2 linked regions of the Rhinolophus ferrumequinum genome follow. The protein of the gene in region 2 interacts with the protein of the main gene of each other region in a pairwise test. Links are inferred from orthologs where the notes say so. Each region holds a gene or a part of one and is shown on either strand. Other genes may lie near its edges.

Evidence for each region.
Region 1: the proteins of EEF1G (region 2) and KLHL18 interact in binary tests that used the Homo sapiens proteins (3 or more experiments, as listed by UniProt). The two-hybrid records come from large-scale screens. The link is inferred for Rhinolophus ferrumequinum from reciprocal best matches to the Homo sapiens genes EEF1G and KLHL18.

What each region holds. Positions count from the first base shown.
Region 1 is NC_046300.1:8,393,961-8,401,222, forward strand, and holds the start of KLHL18 (kelch-like protein 18), read right to left. Parts: upstream 3,083-7,262; 5' UTR 3,047-3,082; coding exon 2,918-3,046; intron 1-2,917. Other genes in the region: kinesin-like protein KIF9, read left to right, coding at 3,422-3,519, 6,798-6,891. UniProt on the Homo sapiens protein: Substrate-specific adapter of a BCR (BTB-CUL3-RBX1) E3 ubiquitin-protein ligase complex required for mitotic progression and cytokinesis.
Region 2 is NC_046294.1:8,197,307-8,204,939, forward strand, and holds the start of EEF1G (elongation factor 1-gamma), read left to right. Parts: upstream 1-4,621; 5' UTR 4,622-4,764; coding exon 4,765-4,776; intron 4,777-5,841; coding exon 5,842-6,000; intron 6,001-6,685; coding exon 6,686-6,749; intron 6,750-6,903; coding exon 6,904-7,046; intron 7,047-7,579; coding exon 7,580-7,633. Other genes in the region: TUT1 (speckle targeted PIP5K1A-regulated poly(A) polymerase), read left to right, coding at 298-761, 1,356-1,465, 1,608-1,718, 1,901-1,993, 2,400-3,565. UniProt on the Homo sapiens protein: Probably plays a role in anchoring the complex to other cellular components.

The DNA of each region.
Region 1 (7,262 bases), on a different chromosome or scaffold from region 2:
TATCCGCATTTATCTCCACTCCATCTAGAAACCCCATTAAGTTATGATTCGTAAGTATCTTCTACTTCCTGAGCATTTACCACATGATTCTTTTAAGTGTATTAACTAATGGAATCCTTAACACTCTTGTTAGGCAGGTGATGATCCCCATTTTACAGATGAAGGAACTGAATCACCAGTGTTTAAGGAACTTGCCCAGGTTTTCACAGCTAATAAGCGGCAGAGCCAGGATTCAAACTCAGGCTCGAGTCTGTTTTATGCGTATTACCTCTCATACTGACAATCAAGAAATAGCAAAGCCCCCAAGGAAAAAGAAGCTGAAAGAGATTAGAAATGTTATGAAAAGCAGACAAACGTGTAGTCACTGACTTAGGTGGAGAATACTGACTGCTGCAGATGGCAAACCACTGCAGAACCCCCTCCAAAATTCAACTGTTGGAGACACACACGTTTCCTCTTATGGTGTGAGCATAAGAAAGGCTGAAAACAGGCGGGAGGCGTCCCCTCACCAGCCAAGCAACTGCAGAGGACCAGAGGTTTATTCTCTGGACAGGATAAACTAGAGACTCCACACTTGGGTAACCAGGGCACCACTGAAGGCAGGGAGCGGCCCCATTCAGGAGGCTTAAGTGAATGTTTGCACACAGAAGCCAGAGGCCCGGGTCTCCTCCCACCATAAGGCTCCTAAAATAACAGCAAGGCTTATTCCATCTAGGCAGACCAGGAGTAGCGTCACCAAAGAACTTGGAAACACAAATTCTCAAGCCCATGCCAGATGTACTGAATAAAAAATTCTGGGGTGAGGCCCAAAAACCGGTGAATAAGGCTGCCAGGTGATTCTAATGCCCCTGAAGTTTGAGAGCCACTGGCCTACAGGGAGGCCCACTAGTCAATAAACCCATCCCACACCAAAAAGCTTCCAACTTTTCAATGCCTCTTTATTTGGAAGACAGTCTGGAATCACCAGAAGTTTCAGGAAAGACGCTATCCTGAAAGAGAGACCGAAACAGATTTCACAGAGCAGCACTAGAGAATGGGAGGGAAATGTGGGAGAGCCTGGTTGGCTTGGTCTTTCCCTGGCCCCCACCATCATACTGCCACTAAGCTCGGTCTCAGGTGCTACATAATAGTTAGAGAACCAATGAAGCAGATACTCTCTACGGTCCTGTGCAGCTAGCCTGTGCCTTTATACTGGTCTTTATGTCCCAGATCCTTGAAACTATTACAGCAACTTAGAATGACACTCGGTTGGAAATCGAATAATTTACTTGTCCCCTTGTATGAACAAAAAGCATTTCAATGGAAAAATCATACAAGCATTTTTATGCTAAAGGTTGGCTATATTCTGTATTTGCATTAAATGCAGAGGCAAAATTCATTGCTTTAATTTATGTAGAGGTATCTGTGGCCATCCCCCTCTATCACGCCTTTCTTTGCTTCTCTGTATCTTACAAGCTTTCCTTGGCTCACCCTTTCAGGCTAAATCCTTTTTTTTCATTATTATTAAATTTATTGAGGTGACAATGGTTAGCACAGGCTAAATCTTAATCCAAAAATTCTCCCCTATTACTGTTTTTCACCAGTCTCTACTCACGCCAGTGATCATTCTGCTGCTTACAAATCTCTACTAGCCTCTACATCTTGTACCACATAATCACGGTGGACAAAAATCTCTCATTTACATCTAGTTCCTCTGCCTCCTTTAGTCCAGCTCATTTTCTCAAATCCCTTGGTTCTCTGCTAAAGATCCTTCCCCCTCTCAGGCCACTCCACTCCTCTCCTGGAAAACTTCAGGAGGGGTTTAGAGTGATGAAAACTTATGCCAGGCATTATGCACAGAATACCACTAATGTTCTCGTTTCATCCTCACACTAACACTGAGAATTAGGAATCATCCCTATTTTCACATTTGGAAAACTGATGCTTAGAGAAAGAAATTAAGTAACCTGCCCAATTTTAATCCAAACCCTTCAATCTCTAAAGCCACACCCTTAGTCATTCTATTCTACGGCCTGCAGAGGTCTGACTCCAATATGTGGAAGAAAAAAAGCTTCCTTAATCCTGCAGAAAATAAAAGCAAAAAGAGCTCCGTCGGAGTATTGTTTTGGTTTGAAACGAGGTCCTCCGCAGATGCTGACAGCCTTCCAGCCAAAGCACAACAGGGAACACGGCTTGCAGCAGCAGCATCTCCCCGCCTGGAGGGCTCCACATGGCTCAGCAGCCGGGCCAAGGAGCAGCCCAGCATGCTCTCCAGCAGATGGATGCAAAACACAGGCGGAAGGATGGCCCCTGCGCCCAGAATGCCAGTAGGGAACAGGTGGTTAAGAGACCCCGCTCCCCACGCAGCCCAGCAGTCCGTTTGCCGACCTTTGTGGTGGTGGCAGTGGTGTGCCTCCCAGTGTGGGGTCGAGCAGCTGCCCACTTCAAAGGATTTCCAGATCCGATTTTGAAAGCTCTTAAGAGACCAGGTAGTAATCTAATAATCAAGAGCAAGCAGTGACTCCTAAGGAAAAGCCTACAACACAGCTAACTTCGAAGGGCACAAAGACATGTCTATGGTGACAAGAGAAGGTGCTTCAGTGCCCATCAGAATGTGGAGACAGCCACCGCCCCTTCCTCGGTGGAAGGGCTGCAAGTGCATTTTCTCTTGTCGGTGTGACAGAAAGGGGAGGCGGGGACTCCAGCGTCTCCCACTCCGAGGGCCTCAGCGGCGCCCCTCTCAGCCTTTCCTTGTAAGGGCTGAGCGGCTGTGCCTGTCCGTCTCCCACGCCGCACCTCTCTCCTCCACTCGGTCTCCTCCAACCTCCTTTCCCCAGCCCTCAGCCCGCTAGACCGCTCTTCCCCTGTCGGCCCCGCCCCTCTTTCCTCCGCTCCGGGTTCCTTTCCCCTCAGCCCCGCGCCGTCCAGCCCTTGGTACCTTGAGCGTCACGTCGCACAGCTTGCCCTGCCGCCGGATCTCCTCCATGACGCCGTAGCCGCGACTAGGCAACTCGGACACGGAGAAGTGCACCAGGTCTTCCAGCTCCTCGGCGCCGTCCTCCACCATCTTCCCCCGCCGCCTCGACTGCGCAGGCCTGGCCGGCCGGCTCCAAACTCAACAGGGCGGGGCGCGGGAGCACGCCGACGGCAGCTCGGGCGCCGGGCTGGGATCAGAGGGGCCTGCGCGGCCGCCGTAGTCAAAGACAGCTCTGCGCCGGAAGTCCTGCTGCCCCGCTTCCTGGTTCATGTGCAGCCTTCGTTCCCTCGCCATCCCGATCCTAGTCTCCTGTTTGCAGCTGCCGCAGTCTTCCTAAAATCATCCGCCCCATCTCCCGTCTTACCGATTCTGCCCTGGCCTTACTCGTATCTCAACAGAGGACCTCAGACTTCATTTCCGCCACCACCCCGATACTTCCGGAACCTCCGGAAGCAACCCGTTGCCATGGCGGCTGTGTATACAGCCCCACAGCCGAGCATACCGGTTTTCGGTCGCGGCAGTTGCAGCGGTCGCGCTGCGAAAGGGCTGCTGCCTCCTAAGAGGTGAGCAGGGGACATGCGCCGGGGTGGGGAGAAGGGAGATTGGAGAGAGGGTGTATGCCACGGCGGCGGGCAGCGGCTGGGATCGGAACACCGCTCCACGCGGAGTTCACTGGGTTGGCTCGCTGATCAGTGAAACCTGGGCGGATGAGGACGCGGCGTCGCGGGGTCCGTTGCAGCTTGGCTGAGGCTTAGATTCTTCAGATCTAACGTTCTCTGGCCCCACAGGGTCCTACATAGTTCAGAGGGCGCGAGGCGGGGGGCCAGAGGTCTTCTGGGTTCTTCTGCACTTGTAGGTTTTCGAACTGGAGGGGCTCCCGGAACGCCAGTCTGAGTCCTTCGAGTTACAGGTTAGGAAACCGCTCCAGAGAGGGATAGGAATGGTCTCAAGGCCCACTGCCTCCCAGATTCCACCTCGGGGTCCGGCATGTTGGGTGAGGAAACGGAGAAAGGCCAGTTAGTCCTGCCTGGATCCGAGTCTTTTGTTTAACCCAAGAATGGGTGCGTTTGGGACCGATTCTTTTGTTTGTTTCATTTTGGTTCAGATGCTTCTGCCGCTCTGATGTCTATGAGGGTTTCCCATGAGAGCCCCTCATCTGGGCAGAAGCGCTGGAAGATAGGGACTCTCCTGGTGCCTACCGACCCAGGAGATGCTCCCTATCCTTTTATCAAGCTTTCAGATGCTTGGTGGCAATTCTGTTCGTTCTCACCTCTAAAACAAATGAGCAAACCGCGATCCTCTCAGCAGGGATGTTTCTTGGTGACCACTCAGAGGTTTATTTATTTACACCAGAAATATGGAAGGAGAGTGCCAGGAAGAGAGGGGCATTCATTCCCCACAAGGTCCTGAGGGAGAAGGATCCTACTAAAAGGGAGGGCGTGGTGAGAGACTGAATATGTTTTTCTGCAAGTAGTGCCTGGAAACCAAGTGTCCTTCTAGAAGGGCTGTGGACTCAGGTATTGGCGGTGGTGTGGAAGGGGAGTGACATTATATGCCCCTTGGGACTTTCTCAGTAGTGCCCGAAGATGGAGCAACATGGAGATTCAGCCACCCTCTGACTTCCAACCATGACCATCACCACCACCACCATTTCTTGAGCACCTGCTCTGTGCTGGGCACTGCTCTGGACATTGAGTGGGGACTCAAAAGAGATGAAAGGCACAGCCCTATCTCCCAAGCAGTTTGTAATTTAATTCGGGAGCTGAAACCCACTCAAATGATGCGACGTAAGAATAGTAACAAGCATTTCAGTAAGTGCAAGATGGCATGGGGTCCCCAAATGTCTGGGTGTTGAGGGGCTGCTGAGTAGCAGTCTCAAGGGGAGGGGGGGATGTAGTTAGTAGAGAAGGTTTGCCTCTGTTGGGTATGGCTTCTGGCATGCTTGGTGCCATGGGTGTGTGCATGGGGAGGGCTTGGGAATCACAGATAGGATGACTGCATGCAAGTACATGTTGGCAAATTGTGGGGTAGAGAAGAGCTAGTCTCAGAGGGGAGGGTGGTGCTTGGAGCTGGCCTGTGCTGCCCTTGTGCTGTCAGTGAGTGGGGGCTGCTGGGAGAGCACCTGCCCCCAGAGCTGCTCTACTTCTTCATGGTACCCTTCAGAGGGCATCCTGGGCAGGAGGACGTGCCCTTGGACGTGTGTAGGGAATGGTTCCAGAGCTTTAGAAAATGAGGGTGTTTCCTTGAGTTAGAACACACTTCCCTCCACTCTCAACTTCCCAGTAGTCTAGATCAAAGTGAACTTTACATGAGATTTTCTTTTCAATTTCCTCAATTTAGGATTCATAGTAGAGTTATTTGTAGCTTTTTGTTCTTGGAGCTCAATTTTTCCGACAAAAATTTCAGGACTGCAATTGGACAAGCCATTATCCTTGTTCACCTGAGTACCCTTCAGATTCATTTTCTAAAAATTAGGAGGTCTGAATGATCCCACAGTGGAAAAGACTTCCATGAAATCATGACTTGAGGAATGTAGGAAGTGGACACACACTCTACAATAGGCAAATATGAACGTAACATGTTTGCTTATTTGATTTGACATATGAAGGGCTTGTAACTGGGGTTAGAGTTCAGTGTCCACATTGAAACTAAATGGAAAGGGCAGGCCCTGTCACTGTTTATCTTGCCTCTAGAGATACTCAGTGCTACTTGATGATAGTTAATACAATTGTAAGAGGAAATCAAGTTGTGTCTAGAAACGTGGAGGAACATTAATATTTTAAAAGCATGGAATCATTTTTATCAGGTAATACTCATTGAACCTCTCTTAGATAATGCATGTAAAATGTTAACGTTCTTTATGTAATGTACTTTTTTAAAAAGTGCAATAATTAACTTCATTAAAAAGAAGAAATCCCTGCTATGCCTTACTTTTCTTTACAGTAAAGGTCTTGAAAATTAGCTTTTTAACAACATTAAACATCATATCAGTTTGTTAGAGTGCTTTGCAATAGCCCAGGCAAGCTATTTATCCTTAATAACTGTGTTGATATTGCTTTTTTCTAATTTGAAGATGAAATGGAGCCAGCTCCCTCCCTATGCCTCATGTTTCCCTAACTCTTCATAAATTCATTAAATTCCTTTGTTGGTTGTCTTTTTCAAAAGTATGCAGTTTTCTTTAGCCTCAACTCCTCTCTGCTGCACATAAATGAAGAAATACAAATATACAGAAAGAAAATGAAGAGAATATAGTTAGGCTTTAGGAGAGGAAGAAGAAGTAGGGGATGACCGGTGATTTTGCTCTCAATGGAGTGCCAGAGAAGAAAGAATATTTGATTATGGGCTAGATTAAATATATATCCAGCGAATCTTTTTTCTGATCTAAGTTATCGATGGAGGTGCTGCACTTGAAGTAAGGTATATTAATGAAGAAAAGAATTAGCTTTAAGACCTTTCATAGTAAATATTTGCAAGGAAAATCTAATGAATGAGGCAAAGCATTAGTGGACTCGGATACAGGACCTGTCTAGAAACTACATCTAAGATTAGGCCACTACAGGGAGCGTTCTTTGCTTTGTTTTTCGGTCCTGTAGGGGGTCATTGGTGGACAATGGCAAGGCAACCTGTAAAGTAGGAAGTACACATACTTATTGGGCAGTGTCCCACGGGTAGAGCACTGAAATGCTAAGGGGTGAAAAAGAAGACTGGCATCCAGTGGGATAGGAAGCTTTGGACTGCACATCACTCGTTTCCGATCTTCTTAATGAATGACGCCTCCCCTCTATTGTCATTTGATGATAATGACTACTGAAAATTTCGCTATTTTCTTCTTTTTAGCTAGAATGGGTACTAGGAAAAAAGTTCATGCGTTTGTCCGTGTCAGACCCACCGATGACTTTGCTCATGAAATGATCAGATACGGAGATGACAACAAAGTAAGTGCAATGTGTTTGCCTTCACCTGCCTGGGTCTCTCTCTGTCCCTCCTCCAAACAACCTCAAAGGACCAAGACAGAATTGGTAAAAGTTTAGATGGACTCTAGAGTCCATAAAGACCAAGCCATACCCTCACAATGCCACTGATGAAAAAACTCCTATTTTTAATTGTCTTTTTGGTTAGTGAGTTTACCTTTATCCTTGTTATGTGACACAGAAAAACTGACATTTGTCCATACTCATAAAACTTTCCGGTGATCAGATCTGCTGTTACATAATCTCCCGGAGGGTACAGTGGGTATGTCTCCAGTGGATAACTGTTAAACTTACCAAGCAGTGAGGGGAACTCTTTGTCAAGAGAACTGGAAAGA
Region 2 (7,633 bases):
GACTATTGTGTTGTCTCTTTAGTTTTCTTTCATCTAAAATAGTTCCTCCACCTTTTTTTGTCTTTCATGACAATGACATTTTTATAGAATACAGACTGCTTATTTTATGGCTTTAAAAAGGTATTTCTAATTGAAAAAAAAATATTGTGAGGATTAAATGAGTTAACATGTGTAAAGCCCTTAGAATAGGGCCTGGCACATAATAAGTAGTAGGTCATGGGTATGTCTTGGGGACGAGACTGTTCCCAGTTAGGGGGCAGCAGGAGAGGCATTCACTCAGTTCTTTTCCATCCACAGCCAGCCCCAAAGGCTCCAGAGTCCCCATCCTTGGACTCAGCCCTTGCATCCCCACTGGACCCTCAAGCCTGCACCCCAGCCTCCCCTCCAGACTCTCACCCTCCAGATTCTCCTCAAGACTCAGAAGCCCTGGACTTTGAAATCCCTTCCTCCTCCCAGGCGCCCCACACTCCGGACTCAGCTTTGGCCTCTGAGACCCTTGCTTCTCCCCAGTCCCTGCCTCCAGCCTCACCACTGCAGGAGGACCGGGGAGAGGGGGACCTGGGGAAGGCTCTGGAGCTAGCAGAGGCTCTGAAGGGGGAGAAAACAGAGCAGGGAGCCATGCTGGAGTTGGTAGGATCCATCCTTCGTGGCTGTGTCCCTGGAGTGTACCGAGTCCAAACTGTGCCCTCTGCCCGATGCCCTGTGGTCAAGTTCTGCCATCGGCCTTCAGGTCTCCACGGTGACATCTCCCTCAGTAACCGGTACCGTTGTTTAGGGGGGTGGTTGGGGAAGGCAAGCTGAGCGTTCTGGGGTGGCTGAGGAGGGAGCCCTGGTGGGGGAGCTCCTGCACATGCCACGCCTCAAGCTTATCCTTGTTTGGACCCATCCCTCTTTCTGCCACTCATCTCCTGCCTGTCTTCCATGTCAATGGAAAGTATCTTTTTTAGGATACTGTTTTTAAGGGATTTAGAAAAGAGTTCCATGGTTAAGTAAGTTTGGGAAATACTAAGTTAAACACAAATAGGTTTCTTCCTTCTCTCCTTCTGCCCCACTTCCTCTTTCTCATTTCCTTTTTTCCTCTCTTTCTCCTTTTCTCCCCTTCTCCCTCCCTTCTTGTCTTTGTTTCTTTGCATAGTAAAGGCCTGAGCAGGCTTTTATTAACAATAACACGCTCTGAATGTCCGAGACGGGCATATAGGATGTCGTGTTCTTTGTACAGCCTCTCACAAGACCACTGTGTCAGCAAACACTTAGGAAACCCTCTCTGGCCGCCGTTACAGTCTGGACTGGGAGCTGGGGGTGATCGGTTCAGAGCGTTCCTGAGCCGTAACGTCCTCGTCTCCTCTTTGTCCCAGGCTGGCCCTGCATAACTCCCGCTTCCTGAGTCTCTGCTCTGAGCTGGATGAGCGAGTACGGCCCCTCGTGTACACCCTCCGCTGCTGGGCTCAGGGTCGAGGGCTAGCAGGTGAGAGGCAGGAGAGAGCTGGGGCTGAGTTGGTGTCGGGCAAAGAAGGGAGGCAAATACAGGAACCAGGATTGAGAAAAACTGCCAAGGAAGGGATCGGAAGCACCTCTAATCTAACTGGAATTATTGATTATTTACCCAGGGAGTGGCCCCCTTCTCAATAACTACGCCCTGACCTTGCTCGTGATCTATTTCCTTCAGACCAGGGACCCTCCTGTGTTGCCCACTGTGTCCCAACTCACCCAGAAAGCAGGTACAGCAGCCGGCCTCCACCCTCTCTATCTCATTAGTTTCATCTCTTCTCTTCTTCGTCTTACTCACACTGAGTTACCCTGGGAATGAGATCTCCGCTATCTCCCTCATTTCCATCCCTCACCCTCCTTTCCCTCAATCTTCCTGCTTCCAGGCTGACCCTCACCTTTTTCACTTTCACAGGTGAGGGTGAACAGGTGGAGGTTGATGGCTGGGACTGCAGTTTCCCCAGGGATGCCTCGAGACTGGAGCCCAGCACCAATCAGGAGCCCCTGAGTGAGTTTGGGGAGCCCACAGAGGACTAATAAATAATGTTGATCACAACAGGAGGTAACACAGTTATTGTGTACCAGGCATGGTTCTCATAGTAGCCTTGGGGGACAGCTAGTGTTGTTATTGCCATTTCACATGTGAAGAAACCATGCCTTAGAGTAATTAAGTGGCTTACCCAAGGTTACACTGCTAGCAAAGGGAAGGAGTAGCGTCTGGGAAATGACATTGCTGGGGACACAGGAAGAGAGCGTGGCCTCATGTTTATGGGGATCAGAGGAGCCTGGCTTCTGGCACTGTTCTGAGCCACTTAGAAGGGAAAACGAAAGTCCTGCTAAGGGAATGGCTCTGGTTCAGGGTCTGTCTCAGTTCTGGCCTCTCAGTAACCCCTTTTCCTGGTCTTCTCCTCCAGGTTCCCTACTAGCCCAGTTCTTCTCCTGCGTCTCTTGTTGGGATCTTCGTGGCTCACTGCTCTCCCTGCGGGAGGGTCGGGCACTGCCTGTGGCAGGGGGCCTGCCCTCTAATCTCTGGGAGGGTCTGCGCCTCGGCCCCATGAATCTCCAGGACCCCTTTGACCTGAGTCACAATGTGGCAGCCAATGTAACCAGCCGGGTAGCCGGGCGGTTACAGAACTGCTGCCGAGTAGCAGCCAATTACTGCAGAAGCCTCCAGTACCAGCACCGTTCCTCCCGGGGTCGGGACTGGGGGCTGCTCCCCCTTCTGCAGCCGAGCTCCCCTAGTTCTCTGCTGTCTGCAACACCCATCCCCTTACCCCCTGTTCCCTTTACCCAGCTCACTGCTGGCCTGGTCCAGGTGTTCAGAGAAGCATTGGGTTGCCATATAGAACAGGGAACCAAGAGACTGCGGTCAGAGGGAGGTAGAAATGGAGATTCTCCCCAGGGAGGGTCAAGCAAAAGACTGAAACTAGACAGACAGAAAACAAGCTGTGAGGAGAGGCAGGAGGAGCAGCAGGGATGTATGGGGGAGCATGGCGAAGATGGGGTGGAAGAAATGGTTATAGAGAGTGGAGAGTCAGTGGAGGACTGGGCCATGCAGAGCCCTGGGCAGCCAGGGGAGCCTTCCCTGATGGCTGGAAAGCACCTTGCCACTGGAGGACAGGAGCAGTCAGGCCATGCAGCGCTGGCTGAGCAGGGCCCCAAAGGACCAGACGCAGCCCGAGAAGGGTCCCAGGGTGAGACAGGGAAGGGGGCATCACTCTCCTCCGTGAGCTGGCGCTGTGCCTTGTGGCACCGAGTGTGGCAGGGGCGGCGGCGTGCCCGGAGACGCCTGCAGCAGCAAACCAAGGAAGGAGGCAGAGGTGGTGCTGGCACGGGAGTAGAGTGGCTGGCGACTGAGGCTCGGGTAACCCAGGAACTGAGAGGACCGAGCAGTGCTGAACAGAGGCCAGAGACTGAGCCGCTCCTGACCTTTGTGGCGTCTGCTTCCCAGGCTGACCAGACTCTCACTGTGACCCCACTTCAGGATTCCCAAGGCCTGTTTCCTGATCTCCATCATTTCTTACAGGTTTTCCTTCCTCAAGCACTTCGAAATCTTCTAGAGTCAAGACAGGGGCCCTAAAGGGCAATTAAGCTGCTAGTTTAATAAACACTACAGTTTCCTCTAATTTCCACCTGGTAACAATGCTCCTTCCGCCTCGTACTTCCCCTCCCCAGACCTTAATGCAGCCTTCTCAGAGGTGTCGTCTCTGGCCACTCCAAAACAGGTCTCAGCCTGTTTCCTTCTTACCATTTATCACAACTTGCGGGGAGTGCCCAGGACGGTGTGTCTGGCACCTGGAGCCCACTTGGGAGAGTTCGGGAGTGATGGAGTGCTGAGTAGAGGTATTGAACAGTACCTGTGAGAAGAACCAAGTTTGCCTCTTCCTTTACCTTGCTGCCGAGATTTATGAATGGTGACAGGGCCTGAAATTTGAGTTCAGGGTTCTTCACGCATTCCGTCACTTAACAGAATTCATCCCCTTCTAAAACTGGGTAAAAGATTTTCAAAGCTGAACATGGGTAAATGGCAACCTGTATCAGTTTGTCTTAAATTGTCAATCCCTCCAGAGTGACAGGAGGTGGAAGGGATATGGCTGTTGTCCCTTAGCCTCCCCCCTGTTGCAGGCCCACAGACTAGTGCCCTTCTGGAAATAACAGCATCCTGGAGATGCAAGGTGGTTTAATGGGAGAAAAACTAAATTTATTATAACAGAGGGTTTCAGACTTAGGCTCCGATTAGACATTCATCTTATCTAGAAAACCAGAGCAGGTCAAAAGGAATTTGGCACACCGCCATCTCCACACCGTGGCGTGTCGCACAGTCACGATGTTCGGGGCTTCGCAGGACCTCCCATCAAGCCTCTCATCTTGGGCCTCACTTATACTGCGGGCCGGAGGGGGATGCCTGCGGCACCCAGCGCGGCGCAGGGATGGCAGCTGTGCCACGTAGCTGCCTAGGGGAAGCGGTCCAGCTAGTTCTCTCAGTTTCTCCGCGCCTCTCTACACGTTGGGACTCGGATTGGCCATACCTGAGGGGCGGGCCAGTCACGTGAGCCACTGCGCAGGCGCGAGCGTTTTCCGCGCCAGTCCGCAGGCCCCACCCCCTTTCCAATTCAGCTGCCGTGGTACCCCGAACTGTCGTGCGTATGCCTTCTGTGCCGTCCTCGCTTTCCGGCTGCTATTTCTCCACGGCGCTCTCCCGCCCCCCTCCCTTCTTTCCCTCACGGCTTACTTTGCGGCAGCACTGAGAGCCCCACCCCCTTTCTCTGCGGAATCACCATGGCGGCTGGGGTAAGTTTGCCGGCTCAGGCCATACAGGTCACTATATCCGACGCCATCCTCTCCCCGAGTGGGACCAGCCGGCGTCAGAGGAGTTCTGGAGCCGAGTGGGGAACTGATTCGGGGTCTAGAGATCTTACTGTTGGAGAGCAGGGCTTCCAGGCCCCGGAGGGGAACTGAGGCTGGGACTGTCGGAGGCCAAAGAGGTGGAAGGGTCTGGGTTATAGGAGAAAAGAGATGTCGGATCCTGGCCGTCTGGGGCCAGAGAAAGGGGTTCAGGTTCATTGCCACCTTGAGACATGGGATCCGGGCAGGTTGACAGAACTTTTGCGACCGTTTTGTGGGGCAACAGCAGAGACGGTGAAGAGGAGGGTCTTTGTGGGCAGGTACGGCTGGCCACGGTCTAAGGGCCGTCCATCAGGGAGGTTTGGGAGGGAGAGGTCTCTCGGGACTGTAGAGTCAGACCAGTTGGACCCCGCCGGCCAGGTAGGCAACACCAGGGAACTCACTGCCGGACAGGACCGGAGGAATGAAATGCGTGACAAGGGAAGAAAGGTTTTTTAGGGAGAGAAGATGCCATTCGTCCCTGTGTCCCTGTGTCTCTTCGGAGGGGAACTTGGAAATGTCTTGGTGCGTGTGTGTGTGTCTTAGAGACAAGGACGATGCTTGTGAAGCGGTGAGCCGCTCAGCAATAGACAGGCACTGGGTAACCATCAATGAATGAAACAAGGGCTCTGGAAAGGCAGGGGTGTATGTCGCAGCTGGAGTCTGAGGGAGCTGGAAGTTCTGGATTTCTTGGAGATATTATTTGAGGGGAAGAGAATGCTTCTACAGATGTCCTTAGGGAAGGTCAAATCTGTCAACAAGCTTTATTTAGCAGTTGGTGTGTAGTTCTGTTCTCCGTGTTTTGGAGGACTCTGATTACACATGGCAGATTCTGAAGAACTTGGTTCACCAGCCGGAGTGAAAGAGTGAGTTGAAGAGATTGGGATTGTTCAGGAAAGTCATCCCAGAGGTGACATGTAGGACTTGGGACCCTTCTACTCACACTGACATTCCCCCCCCTTTCTTGCACAGACGCTGTACACATACCCTGAAAACTGGAGGGCCTTCAAAGCCCTCATTGCCGCTCAGTACAGCGGGGCTCAGGTCCGCGTGCTCTCCGCACCACCCCACTTCCACTTTGGTCAAACCAACCGCACCCCTGAATTTCTCCGTAAATTTCCAGCTGGCAAGGTGAGTAGGGGAGTGGGAGGAGGGGTCTTTGGTCCTGAGAACCCAAGTGGCTATAAGATTCTATCACTTTGAGATGGCCTCCATCTTTAAAAGGGAACTTTCCATTTTTTTCCACATTATAGTGATTTAAAAAAAAAAATTTTTTTTTGAGGTAATTGCAGATTCCCATTAGTGAAGATACTAAAGAGATATTCAATGACATTTTAAAAAAATTACAGGCATACTTTGTATTTGTGGGAGAGAGAATGAGTTTTGACTGATTTCAGTGCAAATATGTCAAGTATCAACTATGAACAGAATCCTTGCCCCGCGGGTCTTACGGAAATAACCAGGCTGAGAGTAGAAGCTCAAGTGCAGTGTGGGGAGCACCATAATATTTTGAGTATTATAGATGTAGATATAAGACTTGGCTTCTGACCTTTTGCTTGTTTGATGGAAGGCTTTTATCCAAATATCCAATAATATCTAAATCTTTTGGGTTTATTATGTGACTTCAGATTGTAAGGGATACCAAGTTAATTCAAATATTTTTGGTTCCTGAGTTTCAGATAGTATCAGGAGTTTCGTTAGAAAGGATCATCAGCCTTATATAAAAACGTTTTTATCCAAAACAGTTCACTTCCTGGGATTGGCTAGTGAGAAATTCCTGTGAGTTTCATTGATCTTTTGACTGCTTTGTCCCCAGGTTCCAGCATTTGAAGGCGACGATGGATTCTGTGTGTTTGAGAGCAATGCCATTGCCTACTACGGTAATTTGCAGTAGATAGGGCATGGAGGTTCTGGAAGTGAGGGGTGAACGAGAGGATGAGGATGAACTGGAATGGACAAGGGGAGGGCTTTTTAGGGATTGGATTGTTGTTAGCACGATCCCCAGGCTCTGACCTTTGTGTTCTGCCTCTGCAGTGAGCAATGAAGAGCTTCGGGGACGTACTCCAGAGGCAGCAGCGCAGGTGGTACAGTGGGTGAGCTTTGCTGATAGCGACATAGTGCCCCCAGCCAGTACCTGGGTGTTCCCCACCTTGGGCATCATGCACCACAACAAGCAGGTAAGCCTTGGAACTTGGGGAGAAACCAGGAGTGGGGATGATATCAGCTGCAGAGTGTCAGGGAGTAAGGAATAAAATAGGTTGAGAAAAGGAGATGCCAAGAATATGTGGGAAATAAAGGACCTAATCTTTGGGGTATGAGTTTGGAGAACTGGGCTGTTGATGGTGTCTGAGTCTTTGTCGGACCCCGTGGGGCTGGTATCTGTCAATGGTGGTCAGAGGAGAGACCTCTGCTGTAGGAAGGTTATGCCAAATGGTAGGGGAGTGGTTAGACCAGATGACCTCTAAGGTTCCTTTTAAAATACAAAGACACATGGCTACGATCATTACAGTGGAGAATGAGGGAGCACTGCACCAAGAAGAAGTTATTATGTGACTTCATTTGTGGGAGCTTCATTTGTGATACGTTTGGAAGAATCCTAGAATCTGACTCCTTTGAAAGGGTTAAATGAAATGGCTACCTGAGTTCTGTTCTTGGGGTGAGGGAAAGGGTTTGGTCCTCACTGATACAGTTGGTCATTTTAAATCAATAGGCCACAGAGAATGCGAAGGAGGAGGTGAGGCGAATTCTGGGGCTGCTGGACGCT